Drosophila melanogaster: one gene and its partner. The protein of the gene in region 1 interacts with the protein of each later gene in a biochemical or structural test. Each region holds a gene or a part of one and is shown on either strand. Other genes may lie near its edges.

Region 1 (16,130 bases):
CAATTCGGGGAAATTTTTCTTTAATTGAGATAAGACAGTTTTATTTCTGTGTTCACTATTTGCCTGAACTACATTGTAGTTCGAAAGTGGCTCATATTTTAGAGTGTCCATATTGACTAATTGGTCGGAATCGGTTGTATTTAAAATTCGGACAAATGTATTACTTGATGTTGCGATTGTATTTGCAACATAAATACCAGTTTGAATTTCCTGGTTTGGAATTAAAATGTTATCATCTTTTGATGATACTATTAATCTTCGGACAACTTGGGATCTTGCTGGTAATAACGTTGTGTTAATACCAGAGCTGTATGCTATGGGAATATATATTGGAAATTTCAAATTGTTTGGTCTAATTATAAACCAATCTTCTTCTTGGTTTAAATCGATTTGGCAATTATATTTTTTTATGAAATCTATTCCGATTATTCCATCACACGGTATTGGAAAGTTTTTATCTACTAAATGAAAATCGTGTGGGATAACGTATTTACCTGTCTGTATCTCAATAAAAGTCTGTCCTCGAGACTGAATTTTCTGTTGGCCTATGCCTTGAATGTTTATTTTATTGGTTATTTGAATATTAGAAAATTTGTCAGAGTTCTCTTTGAGAATAGAGATATCTGCACCTGTATCAAGTAGAAAAACTAGTTTTACGCCTGTTTTGGCATGAATGAATGTAGAAAATATGTTGAGATTATAATTGATGGTGTATACTCTACGATCTTCTTCTACTGAGTACCTAAAGGCTGTTGCGAGTTTCCCTGTTCTTGGATTACTCGTACATTGGCATTGTTTCTGTTGTAGTTGTTCTGACTGTTGTTACGGCCTCTGTTTCCATTATAACGGCCTCTGTTATAGCCATTATAACGGTTATTATTTCCATTATAGCGGTTTTGATAACCGTTATTCTGGTAACCGTTATTTTGGTAACCGTTATTTTGGTAACCGTTATGGTAGTTGCCTCTAATACTATTGTTATTAAAGCCTCTACCGCGGTTACTACCTCTATTGGCATTTCCGTATCCTCTATTGGGTCTGTTACCTCTAAAGTACATCACTTTATTGATGTCACCGGTAACTCTTGTACTCGTTCTTATGTATGCGCTTATCGCTGCATCCATAGTGGTGCAAGTCCCTGCTTCCAGTACTGTTTTGATACTTTCGTGCTCAGCACGATGTATCATGGTTTCAATTGCCTCTTTGGTGCTTAGACCAGTGGCATGTTCTAGAGGTATACCCTCATCGATATAGGAAGCTTCTAAAAGTTTTCTCAGGCTATCAACTTCAGCGGTAAATTGCGTTGCAGTTTTACCTCTCTGCTGAACTGTTGCTAGCTTTGCTTTGACATTACTGGATGTCTCACCGACAACTACTTTCTGCAATTTGTTTATAATTGCTGGAATTGTCGTTTCATTGTCAACTGAGTTCAAAATTGTGCCAACTATTTTTGACTTAATGACCTCAACTGCAATGTCTTCAAATGGTCCCTTAGCTAGGTCTACCAATTTGATTGCCTTAATGAATCTTTGTAAATGGATCTTTTGCCCATCAAATTCTGGCACTGTGCAGGCGACTTCCCTAATGTAAGACCTAATGGCAGCTGCTTCTTCTGCCATGGTTAAGTTATTTTCGGAGTCGGCTGCGTTATTTGTTTTATCGTCGTTCTTCAGCATTAATTTTGCTGGTATAGTTAGATCGTGAAGATCTTCCTCTTTAATGTCTTCCTTGACTATAGTCCTATCTTCCTCGTCAGAGTTAGTGCTGTCTTCATTCAAATTTATTCTTAGTGGGGTGTTTACTATGGTTGGAATTTCTATCTGGAGACTGAATTTATTTTTTATAAATATTAATTTTTCTCTTAATGTCACCAGTAGGTTCAAAGCCTTAGCACACTGTTTGCGTTCCAAATTCTTTCTATTTTGTTGGATCAACTCTCTGATTTCATTATAACTATTTACCAAGACTTGGGCATTCCTATTGATTGTTACAGCTTGTGTTGATCTGTTTTGCGTTAAGCACTTATAGGATTTTCTGAAATTTTCATTTTGATCTTTTATCTGATCAACAAGCTTTTCCCAGTCCATGCTGTGGTATACTCATAACTTCAAATTTATTCATTTGTATATATTTTTTTTTTAATGTAGATAAATTCAATATTACGTTTTATATTTTTTTTTTTATTTATTATTTTTTTTTTCATATAATTTTTCTCATATTTTCATTCATAATTGACTTTATTAAAGATCTTCCTTAAATATTATCTATACCGTTAGCAGTGCTACGGTATCGTTTCTTAAGACACTTGTTATGCAGTTTGTATATTTTTATTAATGCATTGGATACCATAATTAATGCAATTACAATTAGTATTATGGTTATCCAGAACAAGTCTGCATTTTGGACTTCTACTTTATTTATTACATTGGCTGTAGAGTCCACAGTTTTAGTGTCTATTAGACCCATTTTGGGTATACTAATTTTATATTTTGGAGAATAGAATAGAAAATTTCCTTTGTATATACTTTTATTTTCAGTTTTACTTATTTCATTTGTCTCTATAGACATTTATGTTTGGAATTATCTATTTATAAAATCTTTCAATGTTCGCAAGAGTAAAAAAAATTGTATTTTACATTGTTGCCTGCCTGATTCTAGCTATGGCTTCACGGGCCATATTGGGTTAACAGGGCATAATAGTATATGCTCCGTTTTACAATATTTCTTACAATTTTTCTTATCTATATATATTTTATATTTACTTTATATTTATATATATTTATTATTATATTCTGCTGTTGATGATGCTCATCAGGTGTCAGCTGGGCGTCGCCGGGGGTGGCACGCTGACACTCCCTCGCTGCTGTCTATTTGTTGGGTGTCAGCTGGGCGTCGCCGGGGGTGGCACGCTGACACTCCCTCGCTGCTGTCTATTTCTTCGCCGCTGAAGACGTCGATGGTCGCTCACAAGTCCCCAGGCAGTGGGGACTCCAGATTCCTTCGCAGCCAGGGGGGCAGGACTTCTTTGGTTTTGTTAATGCTGGTGCTGGTGCTGGACATGCCTGGTATTTTGGAACTTCATTAATTGTGGGTATATTTTTAATATTATCTGAGTGAGTTTTCTCGAGCTTATGGGTCTTTAATTCTTGCTGATATTGCAACAAGTGGTCTAGCTCTGCATGTAGCTTTAGAGCTTTCGACCAAACCGGTGGCGTTTGCTGACCGTATATTAGCCACCTTACGTGGGCTATACGTTTATTCAGCTTAGTTTTCAAACCGCCACGGTGTTTGCCCATACTCAATAGAACTCTACTCACTCAGATTTTTCCTTGGTTTTTGCAGTTCCATTTAATTAGTCCAGTCTTCTTCCAGTCCAGTGTTCCTTTGTTCCTTTGTTTTCACCAGCTTTGGTCAATTCGTCCAGCGTTGGACGACTGTCACGGTCGCCATGTAATGATGAACTCCAATTAAGAACACAAGTCCGTTTTAAGTTGAAGGCAGCCGTCGGGCTGACATATATTTATTCAATTTCTTCTTTTGATTTTAGAGTAGGCAGAAATGGTTCTGTCAGCTCAACGTCTACAGAGTCTCTCTGATTTTACAGTTTTTTATATATTTTGACTTAGGCTAATCCGCGTAGCTGCGCTGCCGGGTACGCCAGCAGCGGAGCGGCGTTCTTATGTATATCTTATATATCTAGGCTTATCGGGAGAGCGAGATATGTATGTACGTATGTAATATGTATTTGGTCGGCGTGTGAATGCTGACCATGCACTTATACTTTTTGCCTTCGAGTGGGTGATCATGTTACATCTGCCCTGGCCTAACTGCGTGCATAAACATAAACATAAACATAGCAACAAAGTGCTGCCATAAGTTAATATGCTATTTTATTTAATTGTTCTTAATATTGCATAGGCACATACTACACCACAGAATCGATGCCGCCGCGGGGGCTCAGATCAGTACAGTACATGCCTATATGATGATGTGAGTATTCGGGCCACTAATCTCTGATTACAATCAAGCAAATACCAAATTTAATCATCGATGACGGCTGTTCTTGGTTTAATTTTTTCGACCAGCCAAGGATTTTTAGAGTGGGAATTATGAGAGCAGTGTAAAGAGTTGTTTGTGTTTGGCCCTGACAGTGGGTAAGAATCGATCGATAATGCCAACTGATTTTAACTACCATATATCTATTAACAATACCTATTGTTTTATCTATCTACGCCTAAGTCAACACACTGTTCTACACACTTTTAAGTTATACACCACACACGACACACTCTGATAAGATATAAATTAAAACTAATCTTTATTGATCTAAGCGGAATGTAATAAAATTGCACTTGAATTATAGCTGAGTCAACGAGTTTCTTAAATTTCATTCGCAAGGGTTCATCAAAGTCATATTTTTGACTGGAAATCTTATAATCGTGCTATGCGAAGTATTCCTTTAAAGATACCTGGAATATCTGTTAACTCGATCAATAACAAGATAAAGGTAAGCCTAATGGGAACATATCAGTTTCAAATAGATAGTCTATGGTATAGTGAAACAATTCGGCAACATGGCCGGATGTACTTGCTTACAGATGCGTATGCCACAGCCCATCAAGAATTTATCTTTATCCTTTTCGCTTTCTATACCGTATAGAAACTATTAATAATTTATATTAACGCCATTAATATAGGACCCAAAATAAAACACAATTGTAAAGCTTGTTTTCTTCCATGAGAAGGCTTCTCGGTGTTGTTTTGTATTTTTTAATTTTGCTGTTACGTTGGAAAGGACTTTCTCTTGTATCCGTTTTTTTCTGCCCGATTTCTGGTTCCAAAAAAGAATTTACGTACAATTTTTGTCTTTTAAGTATAAATTTAAAATTAGGTTTTCATTCTTTGTTTAACAATTTCAATTGGCCCAAAAATAGATGTTTTTTTTTAATTTTAAAGCGTTACCAAAATCTGGTTGTTTGTTGTTTCTCCTTGTCTTGGTGTTAATTTGTTTGGCTGTGAAATCTGTGGTTACTGTGGTATTGGAAAAACCTTCTCATCCTCCCTCGCCACCAACATCCCTTTAAGGTCTGGTCATCGTTTCTACTCCTAACGCAAAACAGTCACTGCGGGATCCGCCTGGCGGCTGATTGATCCGCATTCAACTCTCTTTTTACAATATAATTTGATGGGTTTGGAAATTGAATTTGCAGATGATCATCAACATGATTGGAGTTTACAACTATAGTTATTATTTATACAACAAGTAGTTTCAATTTGGGTTTTTTGTTTTGAGTTTTTGGTTGCCTTGCTGAGTCGCAACCTTCTAAAATTTTGCACTATTAGATTGGATTTAATCTTATATAAAATTAATCGCTCTACAGTTTATATTATAAGTATTGTGTTGTGGTTTCTTTTTAGTATTCGATGGGTAAAAAATTATGCTCTCGACTTTGTTTAGTTTCCCTTAAAGACACATCTTAATTATTTCTATACATAATATAAAGTGTTTCTCATTTTATAAGTTTTGTTTTGTTTTGTTTGTTATGGTCTGTTAAACTTTTAAACACTGTATTCTTACGAAACTTACTTAACTAATCTGATTTGATTTATACTTGGATTTGTATTCCATATTACATCGTACAATAGTTGTTGCTTTTGCTGTTGATTTAATGCTTAAAATTAGACATTGAATTTGGCATTTATTGCGCATACTTGATAGTAATTAACATGATCTTATCTTTCCCCATAGAATTGTATAGTTATTTACAAACAATTTCTCGCCTGATTTGTTGTTTACGATTATGAAGACCACTTGCAGGAAGGACAGTGAATTGTAAATTAAATTAAAACCTTAGGAAATTTTGGATTGAATGTTGGAAAAATTCCTTAGAGCGTGCGCCTAAACTAAAGCTTTATAAACTTGTAAATGCTGGACTAGCTTTCAAAACAGAGGGCTGAACAAGAAGTGTCGTTGCTTAAAATGAAAAAAAAATCTATAGGGTACAGTTGGAAACTAATCATAGTTTGGCACTTGGCCGGCAGCTTTGAATTAATTTAGAAAATATAGATTATAATAACTAGGCGTATCTAAAGGGATGATGCGTGAAGTAACCTAAAAACTATATGTGTACGCGCCGTAGAACAAAATGTTTAACTTGAGTAATATATGAGAGAAGAGTACTAAGAGCTAGATTCACAGGAAACTGGACTTGATGATCATCACAAGTGTGCGGGTGTGTCATTGTTATTGTTTTTTGTTGTATGTGCTTATTCTTGTTTTAATGGATTGCAGTTGTTGCTGATGCTGCAGTTTGATTGCTGTTGTAAATGTTGGTGTTTGTGTTGTCGTTGTTTCAGTCCTTTGAGTGAATCGGTATCACATATTTATGTCCATACGGACTTTTGTACTTAATGCCACAATCACGATAGAATTTATCCGGTATACCTAGATTACATAAATACAATTTGCCACAATTGTTCGTTGATGCTGCTGATTTGGTAGCCGATGCTGCTGCCGAAGTGCTAGCAATGGGAGTTGGTGTGGCGGCAGCCGAAGAGGATGATGATGTTGTTGCTGTTGATATGCCATTTAATGGTAGTATGGGTAGTATTGAGTACTTGATAGCAACCTCATTAATGCCACACGGCGGCGGGTCTATGGCAAGCACCGAAGCGCTAAAAAATACGTATAACAGTAATTTACTTTCGACATTAAATGGGGTTCACTAACCGATTTACACTGAGCCATTTCCTGATCGCATCCGATAAATTAGCGGTGTTAGTTGATAATATCACAAGATCTGGCGTGGGTAAGGCTGAAAAATGTAAATAGCTCAGTAATCGATTATTTATATTTTTTATTATATTAGTAACCTACCGTCTACTGAGTGAACTATGACATTGTCGGTTGCCTTGAACAATGAAATCTCTGGGCTGCTGCTGTTCTGCTCCAGCAGTTTGGCCTGCTCCACGTACAGCAGGACAGTAAGCCCATGCGAAGCCAGCTGGCGACCTGTGGCTGCTCCAATGTTAATTGTTCTGAAAGGAATTATGTTAGTCACTGCCTTGAAGTTATGTCCATATACGTTTGATTAAATCACCTCATATTTTTGCCGCCATCGCAGATGATGGCAATCTTCGGCCACTGATGGTTGTTGGCCGGCGTCAATCGCCTGGCGCCGCCCAGCAGTGTAATGGCCAGATCACTGGCTCCGCGCGCCAAAATGTCGATCTGCCTCTGCAGAGAGAGGCCCGCCTTATCGGCACTTATCTCGATTTTATTCCGAACGTAAGCCGGAATCGTCGGTATAATGAGACCGTCGTCCGTCACAAAGTCCTGGCTGCCGCCGAACATGCTTTCGATCTGGCGCAATTGTAGTGGTTTGCTGGCCAGGATGTTCTCGTCGTGCCGATACTTCTGCTCTGGCTTATGATGATGATTGTTCACAATGTGCCGCACCACATCTGGTTTTTGGGTCGTCGACTCGATGTCGTCCCAAATTGCCTGCTTGTCGAACAGCGCTAGATTGCCCTCAAAATCGAAATCCTCGTGGATCAGCGGATCGTCCGCCTCGCTGCCAAAAGTCAGTTGCACCTGTTGCTGCCGCATGCTGCTCTCCCTTCGCACCCTGTTCCGCTTGTTCTTCCCGTTGCCGTTGCCATTTCCATTGGTATAAGAACCATTTCCGGTGCCATTTCCATTGTTATTGGCATTGCCATTCCTTCTTACATTTCCATTTGTATTCCCATAGCTCGAGGCTGCCGTCTGCTTGTAAAATCCATCTCCGTTGCTGACGATATCTATGGGTTTGCTGCTGCCCAACGACAAACCAGTTGCCTCGCCGCTATCTCCGCTGCTGCTGCAGTAACTCTCCCGGGTGTTGCTCACGTAGGAGCCCAGTTTCACCTCGACCTTCGGCGGTATCATGTTGCCAAAAAAGGCGGCCACGCTGTTGGGAGTCGTTGATATCTGCGGCTGCTGCTGAGCGCTGGACGCACGGGATGTTTGTGGTGTTCTGGATGACGAAACAAATATAAAAGTTAGATGAAACCTATTTTAAATACGACGCTCAGTTGGCACAAGACCTATCTGAAACGACTGTTGCTTTTTATCAGTAATAAAGGTAATTTACTCATTTCGTATCTCAAGGTTGGTAAGTTTAAACATAAAGATGGCTTCAAAATGAAATGAAATAAACACAATCGTGCTGACTGCAAAAATCTTCATACTTTTTTTTTTTATAAAGAGCTAACAATTAATTTAAATTATTGGCATTGCACAATCGTTTAATGGGCCATATTACCTAAGGGTGCCATTTGAGCCGTTGGTCTCGATTAGCTTCAGCTGATGCATCTTATCGCTTAGCGCCGAATTGAAGTTGCCACGTGGGCCCGAAGAACTCGATGCTCCGCCAGCCGCTACCCGTCCATTGTCGTTGGCCCTTGACCGCGGCGTCGATGGCAGATCCTGTTCTCGTTCCTGCTCCTGGAACTGCTGTTTCTGTTGCTGCTGGAGTTGTAGCTGCTGCTGCTGCTGCTGGAGTTGGAGCTGCTGCTGCTTGCCCAGGATGTTGGAGAAGTGGGGCAGCTTGACGGGCGTGGGCTTGTTGACCACTGGCGGCGGCGCCGTGTGCCCATCCAGATCTTGCTTTGCGGGCTCGATGAGATCGATGCTGCGAATGTCCGTGCACTTGAGGACCACCTCGGCGTTCTGCTTTCGCAGCGGCACGCCATTGCGGAAAGCCCTCACAATGGTGATCTCCTCGGCAGAAATCTGCTTGATCAGGCCCTGGAAGACGCCCAGGACCTCGTCGCAGGCTATAGACACTGCACAGCCGATCCAGTCTTGATCCGTCGGACCCATGTAATCAGTTTTCGATACTCCCTTTGCGAATGCGACAACACGTTGGATCGGCTTGTTCTGCCCTGGCTAATGGTTGTTCGAAATGTTTGCTGGCCCGCGCAGAGCTGCTTGTTGTTTTCGTTTCTAATACGCAATTTCGCCACTAACTAACTACGCACCACGCACCTCTCTTCCTCTTCTTCCTGCTGCTGCACCGCCGTTGATTCTAGTGTTTTGTGGCTTAAAGTCGGGTGTTTTTGAATTATTTGGCTCTGCGGTCAAGGGGTTCGGTATTTTGTCTCTTTTAATCAATAAATGCACCAACCGTTGCAACACATTGACGCTAAAACTTATTGGATTTCTCGTTTCATTGGGATTTTCACTGCTTGCGTGTGGCCGTTCGTTGGTGTTCAGATAATACCGAACAATACCCAAACTAGCTGCGTGGCAAATTAGTTTACTTAATAAATTTATAATAATATACATATTTATAATAACTACAAATTTCATGCTTTACGGAAACTTCACCTTATTTTGATAAATATTTGGTTCAATAAAAGCCTGCGAGCCATTTTATGAATTTAACAAGTGCTTCCCTTAACTGTTAAGGCTTCTGGGTGCTGTGGTATGTTCTCAGTGCGCGTACACGGTCACTCTGGCAGTTTTGTTCTCGATTTTGTCGCCGTTTTGTGCATTTTTCCCGTCCGGTGTTTAAATTTTATTTAATACTGCGCGTGCGACATATATACAGGCACCTATAGCCGACCGATATCGGCGATTAAGGCATGTGCGCCGCCGAAGCGGTCAAAGTGATAATCGCTTGAATAGTGAGCAGTGTAGAATTTGCCGTGTGATAGAAGTACGTGATGATTTTCCGCAAATAGTGGATAAAGGCGAGCCCACACGCATACCACCGCAAAATATATACATAAATCGGGCGAAAATATAGTGGCCCGTGTTTGTGCGTGTGTAAACGTAAGTGGAAAACTTGGGCGAAACTTTATGCTAACCATAAATGGTCTACAAAGACATGGCTTCGCGCCTGGCTAATTATCAAGAAAATGTTTGGCTTTTGTGCTCTATCACCCACACCTCATTCACACAACACACACACTAGAAACACGCTTGCACGGGGGCAGGGCGGCAGACAGAGATGGCATCTAGCACAAGTACCGTTGTTCACTTTGTTTGCTGTCTTTGTTGTCTGTTCGCTTTTCTTTCCTTCGCTTCTGTACACCCTTCCCCCTCTTGTTACCTTATGGCAGCCTCCTCTTCTTCTTCTTCGTGTCATTTATCGCTTAATTTGCACTTCCGCTTTGCACATATTCACCCTCTCTCCTTCCGTCATTCTTTCATTGCAGAAGCTTCTCTAAAAGAAACAAACAACAACAACACAACAATGTCGGCACGTTCCAGCGGCTTGGTGGCCGCGGCGGCCCTTCCCGTCCCGTCGTCTTCTTCCTCGGTGGCCGGCGGCGACGTGCCACGCCCGCCGCCCCGCCGGCGAGCGGCCTCTGTTGCGGGACAACAGCAAACGCGCCAGGAATTTGGAAATGGTTACACTCCTCGCAGATCGTTGGCAGCAGTGGTAAGTTTACATAAGTGCAGGTGACGACGAAAAGAGAGAGCTTTACCTTGAAGGACAACTTAGGAACTCTTCTAACATCTTAGGAATTTTGTAGGAGCACCTTATGGTTACAACCTTATTTCACAACGCATCCAACTCTGATTGAAAAATTTCATTCCATTTTTGATAAAGCCAGTTAACTAATTATGGGTTATATAAACGCGTATGTATCAAATTAAGTTATCATAACACCAAATAGTGACCGTGGCACCTATATGTTTATCAATTTTTAATAGATAGTAAGGTATTACTTACTATGACATCTTATAAGATACTCTTATCAATTGTTTTGGTTTCGTTGCAAACTGACTAATCAATAAATGTATCTCATTTTAAAGGGCATACCGAAATGTTGTCTTATCAAAACTAAGCCAACCAATTCCTATAACCTTTTATAAGGAATTGCCCACAATGTATCCACCATTTTGTTGGTGTGAAGATTTGAAAAGTATTTATCAACGGGTGGTGCTGGGGGATTTGGTCGCCCTTATCAGTGCCTCCGCTGTATTTAGTGTTTCCATTTTTACGATGTTTTCACTACTAATCTAATCTGCAGATTGCCAAACAGCTGAGTCGTGTAGATGGGCCATGTAGATTTCACTCCCCTCATGGATGATAAAGTGGGATATATGTATGGTGGGAAAAGTAGGGGATCTACAATTCCTTCAGAAGCCGAAAAGCACGAAAAACTTACGAACTGTTCTTATCCAATACCTAGCTTTTACGGTGTAAAGGTCGTTGCATTTCGTCAACCATTAAGTTAGATGTAGTTGTATTTCAGGAGTGACTTCCATAAGTCTTTTTTTAGGAGGGCCTTTAATACAGCACATTACATTTTATCGTTTAGTCATTGTTTGCTTGTACCAATTACTTTATAATGTTAAAGAAAAAGTAGCTTTTTTGCGGATTTTTTAAAATCGAATAACATTTCTTGACTTGCACTTTCCGAAGAGCAGAAAAGTGCCAAGAAAAGTATTAGGAAGCCGCCAGAAAATAAACTGGCATCATCGTTGTTTACTTAGTGTCTGGAATGGGCTTTTCTATTGTTTTGCTCACTTGTATAAACAAATAATTCGCTCGCCATCTCAGGCCGAACGGAAACTAAACTAATTTATTTATCTTAATTTGCCAAAGATGCTAGCCACTTGAGCAGTCATCGGCATCTTCGAAGCTAATTTAATTTATCAACACAATTCTTGGCCGCCGCCTCTTGAATGTTGTGTGTCTACACTTTATGGTTTTCTGGCTGCACAGAGAGAAAAATATTGTTTTAACTTTTAATACCTAGGCTATGTTTAATGGTTTATAAAAGTATTTTAATTTCTAACAGAACTCGCAGAATTATATTATTCATAGTTTCTAAACGTATTATGAACTGACATTTTGTTTTGTGTTTCTTTTACTTTCTTTTTTAGTATCCCAGTGTTGGTTGTTTGCTCTGTTTGCTTTCACTCAATGAGCGATTATTTGACGGCACTTCAATTCTGTTTGTCGAACTCATTGAAGCGTTGTCAGAATGGCTCGAAATTCCTGTCCAAAAAGTGGGAGGTGTATGAATGAATGGCTTATCTTCATTAGTGCTTTTTTTGCCGCAAAAGTTGTATGCCCCCGCTAATTGAGCTCTGTTATTTGGGTTATTTAATCCAATTTGCACGTCAGCCGGCAAGCGGTGACGTCGGCCAATCGACGCACTTGTAAGAACAGTCGACGTCACAATTGCCTTAGCGGATAGCCTTAATGGGCCGCTTATCAGTCAACAGCTGGTCAATTACATCCATTGAATCCATTGCGTCAGCAGTCAGAACATTCTCATGTCTATTATAAGTGATTATACGCTATTTAGCTGAACATTATTAATGGAATTGGAGGGATTCCCAGCCCAAAATACAAATTTCACACAGATACGCACGCACACATAGATAGTCCACTCACATCAACGCACGGCGCAGCCGATCAGCTGTTTTTGTTTTGTTTTGCTTAAAGACACTTGTTCGATGGCAGCTGTCAACAGTGGGAGTGAGAAAACGCGAGAGGAAGACAAAAAGAGTACAGGGCTAAGCTGTCATTTTAAAAAGCTTTCAGCCAACAGCTTGTAGCTGGGGCTTCAGTGTTGAAAAATGTGTTCAGTACTGTTTTGGTATTTTTTTTTTAAGATTAAAAACTTTCCTTTTTATGGTTAATTGGAGCACTTTTTGTGACAATTCATTAAAATATCTATGCATGAGTATTGCAAGTCCACTTCGTATTTTGCTTTTTAATATATTAATATTAGAATTTTTCCCGGAGAAGCCGACCATGAGGTAAATAATTTACTCCGTTCCATCGGTCACACTAGACCCAATGAAAGCTCCGCAATGGGGCAACCTCTTGGCCCGAACGCGCTGGCCACACTTTTCAGTGGAGCTGCCTTCATTTTAGCTTAGAACGCGAAAGCGCCAAGTTCCGTGTTTTGCGCTGCGGCTGCCGACAAGTGTTGCTGTTGCTGTTGCGCTCGCACCCACGACCGCACACACACTCGCTGCGGGAGCGAGCGAGAGAGGCAGACATTTACGCAGAACATGTTTTCGCAATAGTGTTGGTGTGCCGTTTGTTATTGTTGTTATTGTTTCCATCGTTTAGGGCCGTTAATAAAAGATAAATAAGTGAATAATTGAATTATAAATATTGTAGAGTGTACCGCCACACACACACAAATCGCTGGATTATATAGATAAATTTATTGCACAGTACCCCTGAAATGTGTTAATTATATAAAAAAAAAAGCAGTAAATAAGCGTACGTACCGTAAAGCAACAGTTCTCGCTCGGCACAATCGAGAAATCTCGAAATCACATCAAATGCAGAAGCATTTCCCCATTTCTTTCGCATTTTTCGCGGGGCCCTATTAGTCATACAGGGCAGAAAAAAAAGTTGGAATGTGAGCCTAATGCTGCCATGCCCCCTTTTGGCCCTAACCAACATTGCGTATTCGCAATAAACATAATAAAAACAAAACGGCAATTGTTGTGGAACCTGTTCCCTTTTTGTCGCCGTATGCAGCTTGCAGCTTAGCAAAAAGCAAAAAAATCAAAAAGCTCGTCGAGATACCAAAATAAATCGTGTGTGCGCCAAAACCGTGAAAATCAAGTAAAAAGAACGCAAAAAAGGCTGCAAGAATATGAAATTCCTTTTTGACCAACTCGTTTTGAGCAGTTAAAACCGCCAAACGCGGCCAATATTCTGATGCTCTGTGTGTTTGTTTATTTTATAACCCTCGCAATTTATTGTTCAATTTAGTTTGAGAGGCGTGCACGAAAATTAACACAAACGCGAAACGTAAACAGCGGAAGAAAAATCGGCAGTGAATAAAGTCCAAATCGGAGGCAAAACCAAATCCAAATCCCAATCCCAATCGCCATCAAAATAAAGTAAAAATGGCCGAGTCAACAACCACATCGCCATCGGTGACGAGCGAAGATGGCCAAATCCATGGCTGCAATAACAGTGATGTAAGTAACTGCCGAGAGCAGCGCCTCTCTTCTCTCTCGTCACTACGTGAAAATGGTACATATGCAAATGCTCGAGCCTCTGTGTGAGTGTGCTCATTTTCTTCGACCGCTAATTGAGCCGCCTTTGATGTGCCTCACGTGCAGCCCGGCCCTCTGCCCACCGCTCAGTAATCCTCTCTGCATTCTCCGCTAAATCTCTAGAGATTTTCCGGCTCAAGGCCTCCCCGGTTAATGAGATTTTTCGATAGATATTGGAAAATATCAAATGAGATCGGTAGAGCGCAAAGTGCAATTGTATAGGATATCTGTCTGATAGAATAAAAATAAAGTATAAATATTTAGATGAGAATTTGGCCTTAAAGACCTGGCACCATCCTTCAATTAATACAAAAAAAAAAAGGATATTTAATTTAATTGGGAAATTTTTAGATTCCACTTAATGATAAGGAATAAAAGTTCGAAATAATACACGGAAATACACAGAAATATGTATAATTAATTTTCGATGGCCCTGAGATGCAGTAGAAATGTACTATTGACCGTTGAAAATTGCTGAATTTTTATTTCATTAGTTAACATTTTAACTAATAATTTATCTTCCCGATGATAGAAGCCTATTTATCGTACTTACAGACGTCATAGACATTCATATATAACCGTCACATTAGAACAAATTATTTATAGCCCTAAATTTATTTGACATATGTATGTACATATATGCTATGCCTTATAAAGCGAACACTTTTTCTATATTCTTGTAGCTAGTTCTTTCTGGTTATTGCTTATAAAAATAGACTTTTAAGAACTTATCTTGTAAACTATCAATGTATCTTTCATCTAACCCAGATGCACGGCAGAATGTCAATTTGTGTAATGAATTTGCATTGACCTCTGGAAATAGTGGCAAGTGATGGGTGGCAACCAATCAATTAGGTTAATGGCAACGACTACGCTTAAGGCCTCATTCTTTTTTTTTGGCCTGAAGAGTTTTCACTCGGCCCCATGTGCGCATTAAAACGTATGAGTAACAATTGATATTCGAGCTTGTTTAATTTCGCTGTTGACTGGTATTTATTATCTCCCATCAGCCTTGCGCTTAAGCCATCTGTTTGAACAGCAGATGAATCGCTAAGAGCAACAGAAATGGGCTTCTGCCGAGCGCCTTGACTTTTTTTTTTTTTTGGCCACCAAAACGCTTCCTCTCTTATTCGCTTTTGCTTATCAGCGAACAGCTGAATGATTATTCACATATATACTTTTATAATTCATTATTCATGCAGTGGGCACGGAAATAAAAGTGGGTGAAAACTATGGTGAATGTGAAATAGTTTGAGCAGGGCGGAACAATGCCGATTGGACGGACTGGACTGATGGCAAGGAAACGGAGAAAGGGCAGCCGGCTGGTTGTATGTCACATGGTCGAGTGAATGGTAAAGTCAACGGCTTGCCAACTCTGATAATGAGCGTTTGGGGCTATGTGCCTATTGATAACCGATTTCGGACACGATTTTAGCTCTTCAATAGCCAAGAAATTTGGAACGGTATCAGTGGAATTCGTGATTAAAAAGTGCACACAAAGCACAGTCAAAACGAATAAGCAGGAGGATTTGGCTAGGGTGAACTATGCTTGTTTTAAGAGGAAATGCATTGGGAACTCGCATATTAAACAATTTCACACTGCGGCACAGATTTACATACCATTTATTGTTCAATAACCATTTAGACGCCAATCGCAATATGTTTTTTGAAATAACTTTTAAAAAGAGTTATTAAAAAACCGTTTTACTTTTATGACTCATAATTGTTTTTACAACCTCTAGCAATTGTCAGTACTATAGTTTTGTAAAGCTGATATAGCACATTTAAAATTGCCATAAAAATGATTTAATAATTCAATTTGTAAATCTGAAAAGTGGTTTCATTGGGAGTGGTTCCACTGTATACCGCCAGGCAATTAAAGGAAGATGAAATGACAGTGCAGCGCAATGCGGATCATTACGTCGGACTTCCCTTTTAATTAACGCTTTTCCTGCCGAGCCCGCCCCTTTTGCAAAACGAACTGTCAATCCAGCGCCAAACAGGCTTAAACCGCCAGAACCGTTTTAAGCTAATTTCCCTCGGTCCCAGATTTAATGGCTAAAAATCAATTTAATGCCAGCTACGACGTGGCTTT
Region 2 (17,337 bases), on another chromosome or scaffold:
AAAAGAAGTGCAAGGTGATCTATGTGGTTCGTGATCCCAAGGATGTTGCAGTTTCCTACTACCATTTGAACAGACTCTTCCGCACCCAAGGATACGTCGGAGATTTTGAGCGTTACTGGCATTATTTCCAAAACGGATTAAGTAAGTGATCCTTCGATGGAGTTGCCATCCTTAACCAACTATCTTTCAGATCCCTGGCTGCCCTATTACAGTCACGTTAAGGAGGCGCGGGAGCATGCCCATTTGTCCAATGTACTCTTTCTGCGCTACGAAGACATGTTGGCTGATCTGCCAGGTGCAATCAACAGCATAGCCAGCTTCTTAGAGTGTCCACCGAAACCCGAGGATATGGATAGGCTACTCGATCATCTGAGCATCAGAAGCTTCCGTGAGAACAAGTCCGTAAACATGCACGAAATGGCTTCCGTTGGCGTTCTCAACAAAGGAGAGGCAGGATTCGTGCGCAGCGGAGCCAAGACAGCGTATCAGCCGCAACAGGAGTTCGTGGAGAATCCGAAGCTTTTGAAGAGCGCCAACGAGTGGGTGGAACAGAATATTAAATCATTCAAGACCATATGAAATACCTGACTTTGTTGGCTATCTTTACTGGTGTTTTTCTTTTTTGGTTTTGAATTGAAACGGAACTAGACTATGACTAACGTATTTGCACATTGAAACTATCCACGCTCGCACTAGCGATCTGCTTGTGGATTTCGTTGACCTCCGCCTGGGTTAAGGTGCGCTCCATATGGCGATAAACAATGCGGAAGCACACGCTCGATTTCCCCGTTTTCGGGTGCTTAAACTTGTCCACCAGACTGATCTGTAAGAAAAGTAAAGTATATGAGAAATACTCGTAACATATGATACGTTTGGGATAGCTAAGACCAACCTGCTCCACCATATCACCAGCTACAGAGCGGACTAGATCGTAAAAGTCGTTCGGCGAGAAGCCGGCATCCACCTCAATGTCCTGGGGCAGCCAGAACGACAAGTCATTCGTGCACTGCGGATAGTGGGAGATGGGCTTGTACTTGGGCAGATTGTGCAGATCCTTTTCGCTAAACTGCGACAGAAAGCCACTGTCGTTCGACCAGAAGAGCCGGATGTCAGGTATATCGAACAGCACCATGGCCAGTCGCTCCAGGCCGACGCCAAAGGCGTAGCCAATCGATTGATGAACGCCCGATCTCTGCAGGATTTCGTGGCGCATGATGCCGCAGCCTAAGACCTCCAGCCAGTTGTCCTTGAAATAGATCTCCAGCTCCCAGGAGGGCTGGGTGAAGGGAAAATAGGTGTCCACCCATCTGTACTTGATGCGCGGCCCAAACAGATCCTTGGTCAGGCCAACCAGCACGTGCTTCATCTCGTGCTCCATCAACTTGACGGCCTCGAGCGTGTGGCAGGGCTGTTTGGTTTGGTCCATGAACTTGGATGAGGGCAGAATCAGCTTGGGGTCGGCCAGCGTACCCGACCACGTCTCTTCAAAGAGTTCCAGGCCAGGATTGCGCTCGAAAAGCTTGTCTTTGGTGACCAGCCGCACAGCGTCCGCCTGGTGGAATACCGGATAGTGGGTGCTATCGATTTCGTCCCGTCGATACACCTCGCCCACGACCAGAAAGTTGTCCAGCCCGCCCGAGATCAATTCCACCTGATGGGCGGTGGTGTGGGCGCGCAGCAGATGCTGCTGATTGATGTAATAGCAATCGGATTTCTGTCGACTCACATGATCGGCGGGAATTAGCAGATTGTCAAAGTTCTGCTGCACAGTAACCACCGGATTCATTTGATCATAGACGGAGAATAGTGGATTGCCCCTTTGGTTGCGATACGCTCCATAAAAGTAGTTTACGATCCTCTGGCGGATGATGGAAAGCGGGTGGTCCGTCTGCAGGTGCTTGTTGGCCCCCACGTAGGAGAGTATCTTGGGCGTTACGTTCGTCCATCCGTCGGTGGCGTACGTGCTTCCACTGACCTCCAGCTGCGGTGGCGATGACGGCGACTTCGCGGGCGCCGCACTGCTGGCCAGGCAGCGGGTGGACTTCAACCAGTGCCGTGCTCCCTGCACTCGAAGCGTCAGAAGCATATTGGAGGGACTTTATTGATTCGATGCAACTATTTATTGCATTTTTTGTTATAACTTGGAAGTTATGTTATGTTATCAGATGTTATGTTAACATATCGATAATTTTCTACAGCAGTCGCAAGGCTTCAGCAGCACGGACTGTGCTGTTAGGCGCACACTAACAGAGCTGTTGGATAACCACCTGGCGCCATCTGCCGGAAAGCGAAAGTGTTGAACAGAAATTGTATGAAATTGTATGAATTGAAATGTATTTTTTAAATCAAAACTAAAAATTGTGAATAAGTAATCAAATATTACAAATTCAAAGCAAAATACATAAAATATATTTTTAAGGGATGTCTTGAGTGAAAAGAAACCAAACTTAGTTGACTGCAAAACTTTGATTTGCCAAAATAACTTCTCTCCCAATTCAAAAACTTCAATTTTTAAAATTATATAATTTTTATTTATTTTTCTACAAACATCAACAGATTTGTTGTTCACCTATATCATACATGATGGCAGAGAAACGCGAATACAATGGACCCATTACAAAATTAGTTCATTAAATATGAGGTTGGGCTAAATTATTAAAGTTCATTTTTGAGATGCTTGCGTTGGTATCTTTTCTGTTTCTTTTCTAAATCATATCATATGAATGCTGGGGCTAAACTACATCAGTTCTGCTCTAGACCAGGGGATAGCTGGAGGCGCTAGCGATGCCGCACTGGTTCTCCTTGTTGCGCAGCATCTTGATGAAGCCCTTGTCGCCCCAGGTGGTGCCCCACGAGTTCTTCACCAGCCAGTAATCCTCGCCGGACTCGTCGGTGCCGAAGCCAACGACCAGCACACCGTGATCCAGATTCTGGGCATCACACTGCGGCTCGTTGTAGACGCCCTCCGAGTAGAACTGGAACGACTCGTGGGAGGCATCGATGGCGACGGAAACGGGACCAACGGTGGCCACAGCCTCGGCCATCTTCTTCTCATCACCCTGGGGAATATCGGTGAATCCACGATCGGTGGCTCCGACTGTGCCCTTGTTAAAGTGGCACGAGTCATCGATGGCCTCGTAGGGATAGGACTTCTCGGTATCGATGCCTCCATTATCCTTAATATAGCGGAAGGCATTGTCCATGAGACCGCCGTTGCATCCATTGTTGCCGTACTTGGTGGAGCAATCGACCAGATTCTGCTCGGACAGCGAGACGAGGACACCGGACTTGCGGAAATGCTGACCCTCGAGGGCGCCTGTGCTGGAGAAGGCCCAGCAGCTGCCGCAGTGTCCCTGATCCTTGACGGCGGTCACAGCTCCCTTGGTGCGCCAGTCCACAGATTTGGGCAGCGTCACATGAGCCGGCGAGATGAAGGTGACTCCCTTGAAGCTTTCATCGGCGGCACTGAAAGCGAATGCAAAGTTGAATATGTGCACATTATAATCCTTAACGATCCCAACTTACCGCAGTTGCTTGTGCAGAGTGTAGTTGAAGCCGTTCATCAGCTGACGGAATTCGTGGTGCAGCAAATCGGCGTACTTATTGACCGCCAGTTTGAAGCTCACCTTGCCCTCGGCGAATCGCTGGTTGTGCTTGGCAATCTTGTGCTTGTTCTCATTGAAGATCTTGAGGCGGAAACGCTCCTCGGTTTCATCCTGATAGTTCTTGCGGTGCTCCAGCTGCATAATGAAAAGTATTAGTATTAGTTAGATAATGCACTCTTATCAAAGGTAAGTGCTACTATCGATTGACTTTCGTGTACTTGTTTCAAGATAAGATAAAGCCAACCAAATGAAAAGTTAACTTTTTAGACGCATTTTTGGGAACTCTATTAAAAATCAAATAAAATGTTTTACGTAAAATGGATTTACGATCGCTGAGGCAAAAGTTCTTAATCTGCAGATTACACCTTATCACAGCGCCGTCAACCTGGCACGAGCGAAACGCTCTAGAGGAACGGCCACAGTAGCAAGCTCTATAAATCTATAAAACATGGTCATAAAATTGTGTTTAACGATTGCCCAACGACAGGAACTTGAAACGGGTGTTAATGTTCCAGGTAGTAAACAAACGAGCCAAACTGCAGGTAGGAATAGGAGAAGCGAGGCCAGCACGAGGAAATGCGCTCCATCTGCCTGCAGTGGTCCCGTGGATAAGAGACCTCCTCTCCCAGCTCGGGGTTGTTTGTTAGTCCGACCCGCATATTGACACAGCCACAGCACGAAAATAGCACGAACGCTAAACAAATGATAGCTATAAAGGGAATTGAAAGGCCAGGGCAAGAAGTCGACTAGGTTGCTATCCATTAGATTCGGCAAATGCCACTATATGGGGGTAGTTTTCGATTCAAAGTGAAATTTGTGAATAAAAATTGACTTCCTCTTGTCTGAATACCAAATTAGCGGCTTTGCATAGAATCGAAAAGTTTATGAAAGTTAAGTTAAGTATATAGAATTATTCAACAAAACTCATTATTACTGCTCACGAATATCCAAATAGCAAACATGCTAAACTGAAATGCATTTTCCAAAAGTGTTTATTGCTAAACTGGTTATTTTTTTGCGACTCTTCAACGCACTCAAAGTGGCATGTTTTCTCAGTGAAATATGGGTATAAACCCAAACCTAATCGCTTTTTAAGTGGCTCACCACAAGTCTTAGTAGATTTTGCAATATTCCAGGGTACTTGGCACATTGAACTGAACAGTCGAGTGGCGCTGTCATGTGAGAAACATGCATGTGTAATTACTTTTGGACATCAAAGCGGACCAGCATCAGCAATTGTCGCCCCAAATGGACCGGATGGGGTCCACTGGTCCGTGGTTGACTCCTATAATTGACATAATTGAATCGAATTCGAGTCTTGCAGCAAAATGAAACCCCGCCCGTTGTGATTTCGAGGGAGGAGGTGGTAACGGCAGAAAAGAGGCGCCTCCCGGCACACTGACCTATTGATTTTCCTTGCAAACGTCGTTGGTTCTCGTTGCCGCATGATAAAATTCACACATTTATTGTATACTTTTGTAGAAAATTTGAATTTGCGATATATGCAGATAGAGTTAACAACTTAAAAACACCGTAATTAAATGCACGTGCGATCCGATGTGATATCCAGGCACTCGACGTATACGTTTTGTATCTATCAATCTAGATATACTACATATGTGGCTTAGGAAACTTCGTTGCAGTTGAGAAGCTTGGACGATAGTAGTTGAGTATCAGAGAGCTTAGCTAGTGCGATCTCCATCCCTACAGTCGCTCCATCTCGATGGCACAGCTATCGTCCTCCTGATCCGCATCCGCATGCCGTTCCGTTGTCGAAGTGGCCGCATAGGAGGAATGTGGAACAGGTTGTTGTTGTTGCTGCAGCTCCTCCTCCTGGCATTTGTATTCCCGCCGCTTGCGCATAATGTAGGCGAAAACGAAGCCATTTATGACCAGCATGGCCAGGACAATTATCGTCGGCCAGACCACATCCACCGATACATCCAAATTATTTGCACTGGTATCGGTCATTCTTATGCTGTGATTGCTCCTCCGTGGTTTTTATGTAATTTATTTGCTATTACCGCCCGTCTCCCTGCGATTTCGTAGCACGTTTTTTACGATGACGCGCGTGCTTTTCCGTACTTCTACTACCACCGCTGGGGGCCCCGTCTGACTTGGCTCCTTTTATTTCTTTTCTCTCAAATGTTCTATATATTGCGCTCTGCACTGCTGCTGCTACTGCCTGCCGCTGGCTGCTCGAGCGTTCCGTTGGCGTGGAGCGTCGGTTCGGGAATAACAAAAATACGACAGAGCTGGCTGCTTCGCTTTTGGTGGTGGTGGTGGTGATGGTGGTGGTCCGCTCGCAAACGCAAACTCAATCGCATGACGGCGGGGCGAAAAAGAGCCGAGTTCACACACGCACACAACACACTCTACACTCTTTCTTCGTATCGCCGAAATCGAAATGAGAGCCCAATCTACGTAGGCCAACCAATTTGGAGGATGGCAGGCGGGCGTACTCTATATATTTCTTGTTTCTTATGCTTTTTCGTATATTTCCTTCTGTTTTGCAGCGCGCGCATTGTGGGTTTGCTCAAAAAGGCGAACCGGTTTCATTTTGATTTATAAGGATTTCAGGCGAGCTATTCAAATATGTTTGCTCCAACCGGTTAGCAGAAGTAACAGATTTAAAAAAAAACGAAAAAAAAAACAGAAACTTATGTATCTTTAATAAAAAATGTAAGAAAAGAGCCGCATGCTGCTTTTGCAAGTCAGCGAAATTTTTCCCAGCTTGTTTATTTACGGCAGCCGATTTGTTTGTGCACTTGTCACTCGGGGAATTAATGCTAGAAATCTCTTTCGGCTCTCGGAAATGCCAGCGAAAAATGGCAATTTGATAAGCAACGCCGATTTGTAGCGCGTCATTTCCAAAATGCTCGCGGCCCCCCGCACGACTTGTTCTTAAATATTGTTGTTGAATATTTGCCGAACTATGCGAATAGCTGCTTAAATTAAAACGCATTAATCTGGAATTTTAGAGCTTATCAGTGCCACAGTTGCTCAACGCTGACTTTTGCAGCTGTGCATTTGCAACCGACAACTGTGGCACTTTGGACTGCACACACATTACAGATAATGTCGTTTTTATTAACTAACTATAAGCAGTGAGAGCTAATGGTTGGCATCGTTATCACATTTAAATTGCGCGCCTTTCATTCCCCAAGCAAGCATGGGTAGCACTGTTTGCAGCAGTGTGACCGAGCGTTTGCAGTATTCTACATGACACCTAACGGTCTCGAAATGTAAAATGGCAAATGTAAAGTAATTGTGAGTTTATTTTGAAAAAAAAAAGAAAACTAAATCTAAACTAAATTAGATGATCAAAGAAAATTTAGTTAGGTAAATAATATATGAGTGGGGAAATTGCAAATGTTTAGTTGATTTTCTTTTTATTTTTAATTAAGGATGAGTAACTCTTTCCATAAATATGATTCCTATTCTTTCAGTTGATCAGACTTTGTTATTTATAAACAATAATTTAATACACCACTCTGTGCTTACTCTAACAAATGAGTCACTCAATTGAATATGATATTTAACAGCAGATAAAAAAAGGAAGGGAAATAAAGTTATATGCATATATTGCATATGCGGGTGCATTTGAATTTGAATTCGAAAAGTGAATATAAAACCATCAAAGGCAAAATATCCAAAGTTATTAAACCAATATGCATATATAGAGATGTACATATATCCCCCTTATCACATGAGATCTCTGCACAAACAGCTAATTATTATTTGTACGCCCCCATTTGGGGCTAATGACGCTTGGCACGGAACTATTCAGTAAAATAATGGAAAAAATCACGACCCCTGACTGTTGGCGATAAGAATTAGACGACACTAGGGGCGCATTCAATTAATCAATAGACAATCCACCATTGATAAGCAGACGAAGTTGCAAGTGAAGGCTGCGAGACAAAGGATGATTGGCCCAATCATCAATGGAACCATGGACACACATATATATGCAATAGAAGGGGGCAAAAATCGAAGTCGCATTAGGAAACATGGCTTGCGAAAAGTGTGATGGCAAATATGCGACCCGCGCCTTATCAGTCGGCCGGCAGTGGACCAGTTTGAGTCTTGCACGGCTTATCGGCGGGAAATGAACCGCGAGCGTAGCGAAAGTGGGCGACACAACGACTTGGATTATCTGCCCATCCAGCCGATGTTTACGGATGGGCTAAGCAAAGCAGCCCAGCTTGCCGCTTGCGGTCATGTGAGCCGGCATGTGACTGGACGACAGCCTAGACTTTTGGACTTATCTGAATCCTCCTTCCGTCTCTTTGAGGCAGCCGCGCAGCAGTGCATTCACACTCGCAATGGCTGCTGACTCAGAAGTCAGAAGTGCGGAATCGTCACAAACGGAAGAATGCCGCGCGTCCAACTATGCAAACAAAGTCGGACAGAAGACAAAGGCCCAAAAAAAAAATTAATGGATTAATCATCATTACACATCAAGCCCTTGTTACCGGAGAACACTTGTTATCTGCCTCTTCGGCCTGGCGAATTAAATATGATCCCTAGATGATCCGGTTGAAACTCACCTTGAACGTATGCCATTCCTCCATGACCACGTCGGCGAAGGAAACGGCCTGAGCCACCGCCAGCAGGGCCAAAAGTGGCAGCAAAACAGCTGTGCGCATTGTGATTTGTTCTGGAATCTGCAAGAAATCACACAATTAGTAAGCAAACTAACAATCGGAGTGTCGGTCACGTGAAGCCACTAAACCAGATTGCAAAATATCAGGGCTGGCTCACTAACTTCGAATTAAAGTAAAATACATATTCTAAGCTGCTCGAGCGATAAAGGAAAGTTGTGAATAAAGTCAGTTTCTTGCACTTGTTCATGATTCATACTATTAAATTGTGGTTAATTAGCATAATTTGTGCTATTAAAGTATTAGTTTTATCTTAGCAACTTTGTCATGAGCCTAAGCAATATTTTAATAAATTTCTAACGATCAAAATCACTGCAAAATATTTAATATTTATTGGGTAAAATATGGAATTTATTGCACCAAATTGCAATTTATTGCAAATTTATAATAAAAAAAAGGTTATTAATATTATTTATTTATTTGAGGCTAACTTAATGTATAAAACTATAAGCAATCTGAGATCTAGCAATAGAAGCTTTGTAAATATATTATTTTAATTCTTTATTAAATTCGTAACAGACATGGTTTTGAAAAACTAGTTTTTAAATATATCATTGTAAGCATAGAAAAGAGTGAAAATGAAAGAATAAATAACGGTTCAAATTTGAGAAATTTGATCCTTTAAAGAAGCTTCTCTCGATTTTAGCGTAAAATATTCTCTTTATAGAGACATAAAAATTATTTCTATAAAACTTGACTGATTTGCGGGGCGTTTGTAAATATATTGACATTTGCTTTGTGATAAACAATATAGTTTAATATTTGTTTTTTTTTATTTTTTCGATGGCGATGCGTTATCTTATCGGCCATTCCACTTTGCCTCGCAGCTTCGTATTGCTTTCAAAGTCTGCCATTTTTGCGCGATTTGCTTCACTTATTGTTTTTCTATCATTGTCTTGCTGTTTTTGCGCCCATTTTGAGAAACGTGAGAGGCATTTGATAAAAGTTGTTATTTACCAATTGTGCCCTCTGCGATTTGTGCCTAGTTCGAGGGCGAAAACGGGTTTCAAAAACGCCAAGGTGATTCATCTGGCTATCAGGTGAGTTAAAAACCACAAAGACTAGAAAAATGGGTCAGCACAAAGGGGAATTGGACAAAATCTAAACAAAGAAGCGCAACAGAATCTAAAGCGCAAAGCAAAAGGGGCAATAAAAACGGGCATAGACGAAGATGCCGACTGTTGATTATTGTGGAGTGCAATTAAAGTGTAAATAAGTCGCCACACAGACATGACGCAATTAGATTCAACAAGTCAATACGAAGCAATTAATCGGCATTAATGCAGGGCAGGTATATTTGCGTTCTCAACTCGAAAATAACTAAAAAGACTACATATATTGCTTACCACTCGGAATTGCGTCGCAAGGAATGCAGTAAATTCACTGATTTATCACTGTTGTTGCACTCTTTTTAATTGGCTGAAACAACACTAATGTGCAAGTCAACCGATTGTATTTAACAAGTCGCTCTTGATGATCCAGTCCCAAAGACCTTTCGTTGTTTAATGAAAACCAGCAGAAATTGTTTAAACAAGAAATCTCCGACAGAGTGACCAGTCCGAATCTTCTGGAAATACCAGAAGTTGCCTGAGCAGACGGCTTATCGATAACAGCGTGGGCAGTGATGCAGTTCTTGTGTGTAAAACGGCCAAATTCAGTCGCTAAATCGAAATAATTGGTCAGCCTAAATATATGCAAGAGCTTTTTAGTTTATGTTTATTTAATAATGAGTGTTAAATAACTAAAAACTATACCTCTCTTGTTACTTTTGCAATCGAAAGATTTCTAAGTCACTCAACGAACTCAATTTAAATTATACAACAAATGTCTAAACTGAATTTTGTTCAACAGTGTTTTGAAATACTAAATGTTAGAATTCACCCGTTGATGGTAACACTGCTGAGGTAAGAAGAAGACAAATTTTGCTCGTCATTGGGAATTGACGATTCACTGAATTTTTGATAAACTCAACAAAGTAAACGCATTATATATCCCGTAAGTAGTGCAGCGACTACTAATAACCCCAAACCGATCACGGCACCATAAAACACTTTCGAGTTATGCGCCAAAGAAAGTCGTAATTACAATACGTTCTTCATCCAATCTTCGCCAGCTCTCAAGAAGCACCCGCATCATGTTTGGAAGACAAAGTGGACTGGGTAGTTCCAGCAACAGCAGCAACCTGGTGGAGTTCCGCGCAGGTCGCATGAACATGGTGGGCAAGATGGTGCATCCGGATCCGCGCAAGGGCCTGGTCTACATGACCCAGAGTGACGATGGCCTGATGCACTTCTGCTGGAAGGATCGCACCTCCGGCAAGGTGGAGGACGATCTCATCGTCTTCCCCGATGACTTCGAGTACAAGCGCGTCGATCAGTGCAAGACGGGCCGTGTCTATGTGCTTAAGTTCAAGTCATCGACACGCCGCATGTTCTTCTGGATGCAGGAGCCCAAGACGGACAAGGACGACGAGCAGTGCCGCCGCATCAACGAGCTGCTGAACAACCCTCCATCCGCCCACCAGCGCGGCGGCGGCGGCAGCAACGACGGCGACCTCCAGTACATGCTCAACAACATGTCGCAGCAGCAGCTGATGCAGCTCTTCGGCGGCGTTGGCCAGATGGGTGGTCTCAGCTCGCTGCTGGGCCAAATGAAGTGAGCATTTAAACCCTTGCAGCCATAGTGTCCAAGAACTAGTCAAGTAGATAGCTTCTTAACTTACAGGGTATCGTTTTTATTGTTTATAAGCATGTAATCGAAGGAATGAAGCCAGAACTTGAGTTCACCCCCTTTTTCAATATTTTCCTTTCTATATTCTCCGCAGCTCCCGGACGCCCTCGTCGCGCAACACCTCCTCATCGGGTGGCGGTGGGGCATCGGCCTTGCAGACGCCCGAAAACGTCAGTGTGCCGCGCACTCCGAGCGCTCCATCGAAATCGGGCAGCAGCCGCAGCAGCAGCAATGTGAACTCGCAGGTCGGCGAAGGTGCCGGCTCCTCCGTTGATGCGGATGCCCCCGGTAAGAACTCAACCACATCGACCACAACGGCGTCAAAATCGACCGGAGCCTATGCCAATCCATTCCAAGCCTACTTATCCAATCTCTCCCCCGAACATGGCGCAGGACGATCCCTGAATATTGACCTATCGACGGCCCTACCCGGCGCCGATGCCATCAATCAGATAATTGCCGATCCGGAGCATGTCAAGACGCTGATCGTGCACCTGCCCGAGTCGGAGGATGTGGACGATGATCGCAAGCAGCAGATCAAGGACAATATCACCTCCCCGCAGTTCCAGCAGGCTCTGGCCCAGTTCTCCAGTGCCCTGCAATCGGCCCAGCTGGGACCTGTGATCAAGCAATTCGAGTTGTCCAACGAAGCAGTGGCCGCCGCCTTCTCTGGCAATCTAGAGGATTTTGTGCGTGCTCTGGAGAAGAGTCTGCCCCCCGGTGCCACCATGGGTGGCAAACCCTCCGCCAGCGAGAAGAAGGCCAGCGATCCCGAAACCCCAACTTCAGTGGCCCGCGATGAGAACACAGATCCCGCTACCGAAAAACAGGAGGAGAAGCAAAAGTAGCTTACGTGTGCGGCTTGGTAGTCATTGATATGGAATCCGAAAGCAAATTTTTTCATGTGCTGAGTGATTTTTGGATGCTAAATAAATTCAAATGGGAGTTAATCGGTAGTTATCTATCTAATTGTGTGTTTGATATACATCAAAACGGCTTATTAATTTATATTTAAAATATTACTACTTTAATAAAAGGATACGCGTTTTGGTAAGTACTCGTCCAGCTCTTTTCAGAATGCATCATTATACTCATTATACTTGGGTTTTTGGCTTACCTAATTTAATTTAAAAAAACAAAGTCTAACGTGTACAATTTATTTTAAATTTTGAAGTTAATAATGGGGGGATATATGGAAGTAACGGTAATATTAATCCCGACAAGGTCATTTTGTTGGTGTCCCCCTAACAAAAGCTCGCTGCCCCGCTCTCTCATCGCAACACACTGGTCGTCCCTTTCTGGCGCGAATTGCGCGCTCTCTCAGCGAGAGCCGTCTCACACAGATATATACACACACAGGCACACGCAACAATATTTATTTTATTCAATTCCAAAACGGCCAGCAAATAAGTTGTGTTTGTGCAAAACTCGCGCGTTCGCAATTTTCCGAAGCTGACTCTCAATTCTCATACATAACGATCTCAAGCGATCTCCGCCAGGCGAATCAAACCCGGATATATCCAGATCTGCAGTAATTGCCATATTTTTTCGCCAATTTTTGCGTTGCGGGCTGGATGTTTTTGTATCTGTTGTTGTTGGTGCTTTCATTTTGCAGCAATCTCTGTGCCTGTGTGTGTTTGTGTGTTGGTGCTTTTGGCGGACGTGAGAAGGTGTGTGTGTCTAGTGGCAGCCTGTATGTTTTTTTTTTGCATGACTGCTTCGCGGAGCTGTGGGGAAAGCTTTTCCCTCCAAAGTAGTTGTCATAAAAAAGTTAAAAGCCGCGGCAAAAACAAAAATCAAAGCAAACACAGAAAGCGCGAAGAGAGAGGGCAGTGAGACAGAGAGAGAGAGAGTCGAGTGCCTAACGCACACCGACAACCTTTGACTCACACGCACACACACGCGCGCTGTTAAACAGGCCTGGAAGCTTGCAAAAAATAAAACTAAATAAAATAGGAGCTGCTTAAGAGTGTGTGTTGTCAAATAGCAAAGTAAACAAAAAGCTCCCCGGACTCGCAATTTCATGCATATCTCCGGCGCAACGATCTGGCAACACTAACAACAACAGCAGCCGCACAAACTGCGTTTTAACCAATTCCATTTCCATTTCCTGCACTTATCTTTCTCGTTTCTTCCAATTAGCGCTGGAAAAGTAACGTCCGCAACGGTTTAAATCCAGTCGAGACGCAAACCCCACTCAACTCCTTAATGAGTTCCCCTCCATTAAACGGAATTCACCAAAAAAAACGATTGATTTGCCGCTGATAAAGCTGATAAAAGCGCACACACACACCAAAGTCAGCTGCAATTTTGCGATAAGGTAAGTACAAAATTATGAATCTTTCAATTTGCCGGCAAATGGAGGCTTCCAGAACAGCTGCAGGAGCTGCAAGTAAAATGGAAGTGCCCCAAAATAAAAAAAAAAAAAAAACAAAAATACAGGAAACCAAAACACTAATGGCGCCTGAGCATATGCTTTGGGAAATTTTCAAGAGCGCCAAGCGTGTGAGCGCGGGGGTGCGAGAGGGACGACCGTACAGACAGTGTTTATGTTTTGGTAGAAAGGTCACATCCTTAGCTTCCAATAGAACTTTCGTTCGTTAATATCCCCGCCATCCACGTCCCTCGCGAATTACGTCACGAATCGACGAAGAAGTTCGTGTCGACAGGTTTACATGCTCTTGAACTTTTAACAAACTAATAATACCCTTTTATACAGTTATTGCGATAGGATTATATGATCCAATCCTAAACCGATTAAAATCTTATCAAAACATTGGGGAGTTAAAATTTATATGAGTTACTAACTTATAACAAAAACCAGTAATTTAAAACCAATTTGTAAGGACTTATGCTATAATTAAACAAAGCTTTTTAACGTTTCTAGCGACATATTAAAAAAAGGTTTTATAAGTATAAAAAACTTATCGGTTTCAAAAACTTAAATTTGCTATGTTATTAATGCGCAAGCTCCAATTTGCAATCTTATGATCGAAGCTATAATACCTCGTTCGCAACTTCAAAATTTAAAAGTGGGTGGTGAAAGTTTTTACGACGTGACTCCTTCAAAACGGCTGGCGAACAGGCGGGGAGAAAGCTTGCAGCCTGACATTGAACTTGGGGGCACTCTGAACAGAATTCTATTAATCACAGGGTGCCGCAGCTTTTTGGGGCAACTTTCACCAACCATTTTTGCAGCTGCCACACTCCAACAGATTGTTGCCAGTTGCAGCCATCGATTTCGTCGCAAATACGTACATATTCACACATTTAGAGCGCGCCATTTCAAAACTTTAGCTCAAAGCTTGAACTGCACAGTGCACTTTCTTCCTTGCTCCCCCATTAGAATAAGACTTCAATTCATCTCAACAGCTGTCTTGGCAACAGAGAAGCTTTCTCCACTGCCTGTTGCATCCTTGTTGTCATTACAAGAATGCAGATGATCATTCACTTGGAGCAGTAACAAATTAATGCCACAATTCATGAACAAGTCTGTAGTGGTCCACCCCAGCCACGTCCACCGTCCACTTTGCATGGCCCATTTGGTCGACTTCCTGCGGTCCAATTACCATTGGCTCCTCCCGCCCCATTGTGATTATAAGCTTTGGGACGGCAGGCGGCTCTCCGATCCGCTGACATCAGCAAGCGCAGCAAACAGCAGCCGCTGCAGCAGCAGCAGGAGCAGATGATTTTCCGGTTTGCCAGGGACCGAAAAACTGGTTTCGAATGGCGAAAAAAAAATGAAACAAACGACAGGCTGACCGAATCGAATCGAGCGCTGCCCTTTTGCACAGTCGGGCCAAAAAGACAATACAGTGCGGAGTGTTTGTTACATGTTAGAGCGTATATATATTTTGAAAAGTACGTGTGCGGAATTGAACAATACAATTGGCTTAGAAATCGACGGGCTTGATGGTGATGAACCGGGAGAGAATGAAGGCCACCAGAATGGTGGCGCACACGAAACAGAAGGCGAACATGTAGAAGCTCTCCTCGGTGAAGATGTCGGAGAATGCGGGTATATCCTGGTAGATCTTCTCGATCACCGCCAGTGTTCCTTTGTGCTTCCTCACCATCCTGATGGTTACTTCTTCTTGGTTGCCTTCTTTCCGCCGCCGGCGCCTCCTGCTAGTTTCTGTTTCTCCGCCTTGGTCAGGACCTTGTTGGTGATCTCCTCGCGCGGTGCCAAGCTGGACACGTGCTTGTTGCACAGCTGCAGCAGCTCTAGTGTGTTTAGGTTATCGCTGTTGAAGCGGATCTCCTTGACTTGGGCTTGTTCTGTGAATGATATAATATCAATAAGTGTTTGCTCTTTGAATGTTGCAGTTTCAAAAGGGTTAACTTAGTTGCCCACGCTAAAAGGAAACCAATTTTTCAATACATATTTCATATGTATTTTGGTTCCTTTTAGTTAGATATTTCAGCTGTCCCAGTTTAGGTATTCTTACCTTGCGCTGAATCAATCAGGGCAAACTTGATGTTGGCCGGCTGGCGATCGCAGACGATTTCTGGCTTGACCACGCACTTGGGATTCGTAGCTGCCACTTTGGGTGTGGAGAGCAGGAAGAGGAATTCCCTGAAATTAGAATTGAAATAGATATCTAGATTATTGATTTATCATCACGATTTACTTGATTTTTCAGGAGCAGCGACGCCGCCTCAAACTGACGCCGACACCGACTAAAATGTCCACGGAGCGTGAGCTGGCTCCCGGTGGGCCAGCTCAGCTCCATCCGCACACGCTGCCGCTGACTTTTCCGGATCTCCAGATGACCTCCACCGTGGGCATCATTGGGAAAGTCTACGGTGAGTGTGGCACGCATTTATTTCATTCCCCAACCCCATCACCTTTTTAGCCCTCGAAGGATCGGTTTTTCTGGTGTGAATACTTCACTGCACCCTTTTTGGTTTTTCTCAGTTTCTTCTTAGTATGATTTTCTTTTTCCTTTCGGTTTCGTGAAAATTCTATCCAATTTGAGTGGTGAATAGGGGGTGTAGTGCGCATGTCCCGCTATCGATATCGGTGAAAAGCGCTTTTCCGACTCACCGTGTGGACTTGACATTTTCCGCGAATGGATCGAACTGCACGGTTATCCGCTTGACGCCCTTCAAATTCACGCTCTTCAGCTGCTTGCCAATGGCGGACACAATGCCGCCGGAACGCCGCAATGCGCCACTGAAAGGCACAGACATTATTTATGTTTTTTTCACGGCGGCAATGAAAACTCTGCGGTTTTTCCGCACAAAATTTACGACGTAACAAACACGCTACGTAACAGCTGAGCGACGATAGCGATAACGGGCCCACTCACGATGACCGCCGATGGTTGTACAACACTGGCATTAGCAACCCTGCCTCGCTATGCCCAGATGCTGCTTGTATAGTCATCTCGCTCACTCGCACGGCTGCGGGCGAGAGTGCTTTGCCCTCATTTAAGTGTGGTTAAGAGTGTACAGCATGCGTCACGCTCACACGTCGCGAGTACAATTTTTGTGTGGACGTCCAGTGTGTGGCTGCTGTGGGAAAAGCTGAAGAAAATTGCATTTTTTGCATAATGCGCGGCGTGAAAAGCTAACAAAAGTTGTGCTAAATCAAAATTCGATAGTCTGGCCACGGTTTGTGCATAAGAGCGGGCGGCGCGAACGTGTTTGGTGCACAAAAACCACGTCTCGAAAAATTAAGAATTCTACGTGCACACATTTTTTGGGCTGCCATATATAAAAAAAAAACGCATACAAACGCATTTTCTTGCTGTATATGCGGAGGAGCACACACACACACACAGAGCGACAGACACGCATACAATTGCACTCACGAGATATGCGAGCATAAAGAAGAATTTTTTCTTAGTTGTATTACAAGAGCATTAGATACATATATAAGTATATAAATATACATATATACACGCCTAGGTGTGTACATAAAAGATACATACATATAAAATTAAACGAAAGCTGTGCCTACATTTGTGTTCTTTTCCAATACTAAAATAACAACAACAAACAATAATAATAATAATAATAATCATACGAGTAATATAAATAAAATAATGCAAGTCGAGCGAGAGACAGCGACAAGATAGCACACCCACTTGTCTGCTCATAATTCCAATTTATATATAATAAGCCTACGCCACGCCCACGCGCAACTACAACAACAAAAAACAAAACAAATGCAAAATCAACCAAACGAATAAAACTTTAAACTACTTTAAAGTGTGATAAGCAAAAGGCTGAAATCAAAAACAAAAAAAAAAACAAAATAATTAGTAGAAAACCAAAAGCAAAGGCAACAACAAATACAACAACAACAAAGAAACAAACAATCAATTACA

The links.
Region 2: the proteins of Edc3 (region 1) and CtsL1 are reported together in a solved structure, tested with the Drosophila melanogaster proteins (one study listed by BioGRID).

The regions. Positions count from the first base shown.
Region 1 is NT_037436.4:17,520,606-17,536,735, forward strand, and holds Edc3 (enhancer of decapping 3), read right to left. Parts: upstream 9,257-16,130; 5' UTR 8,864-9,256; coding exon 8,304-8,863; intron 8,236-8,303; exon of another isoform or gene 8,095-8,235; intron 8,016-8,094; coding exon 7,101-8,015; intron 7,039-7,100; coding exon 6,878-7,038; intron 6,816-6,877; coding exon 6,731-6,815; intron 6,676-6,730; coding exon 6,354-6,675; 3' UTR 4,728-6,353; downstream 1-4,727. Other genes in the region: Nedd4, read left to right, coding at 10,242-10,430. UniProt on the Drosophila melanogaster protein: In the process of mRNA degradation, may play a role in mRNA decapping.
Region 2 is NT_033778.4:13,953,158-13,970,494, reverse strand, and holds CtsL1 (cathepsin L1), read right to left. Parts: upstream 9,315-17,337; 5' UTR 9,302-9,314; coding exon 9,230-9,301; intron 8,276-9,229; coding exon 8,159-8,275; intron 5,843-8,158; exon of another isoform or gene 5,577-5,842; coding exon of another isoform or gene 5,310-5,576; exon of another isoform or gene 5,009-5,309; intron 4,891-5,008; exon of another isoform or gene 4,800-4,890; coding exon of another isoform or gene 4,710-4,799; intron 3,741-4,709; coding exon 3,526-3,740; intron 3,466-3,525; coding exon 2,754-3,465; 3' UTR 2,514-2,753; downstream 1-2,513. Other genes in the region: St4 (sulfotransferase 4), read left to right, coding at 1-141, 191-579; PheRS-m (Phenylalanyl-tRNA synthetase, mitochondrial), read right to left, coding at 656-823, 893-2,086; CG42806 (uncharacterized protein), read right to left, coding at 5,310-5,576; Rpn13 (regulatory particle non-ATPase 13), read left to right, coding at 10,407-10,927, 11,097-11,850; CG33155 (uncharacterized protein), read right to left, coding at 14,896-15,078; mRpL53 (mitochondrial ribosomal protein L53), read right to left, coding at 15,087-15,280, 15,451-15,578, 16,050-16,195; AGO1 (Argonaute-1), read left to right, coding at 15,688-15,808. UniProt on the Drosophila melanogaster protein: Important for the overall degradation of proteins in lysosomes. Essential for adult male and female fertility. May play a role in digestion.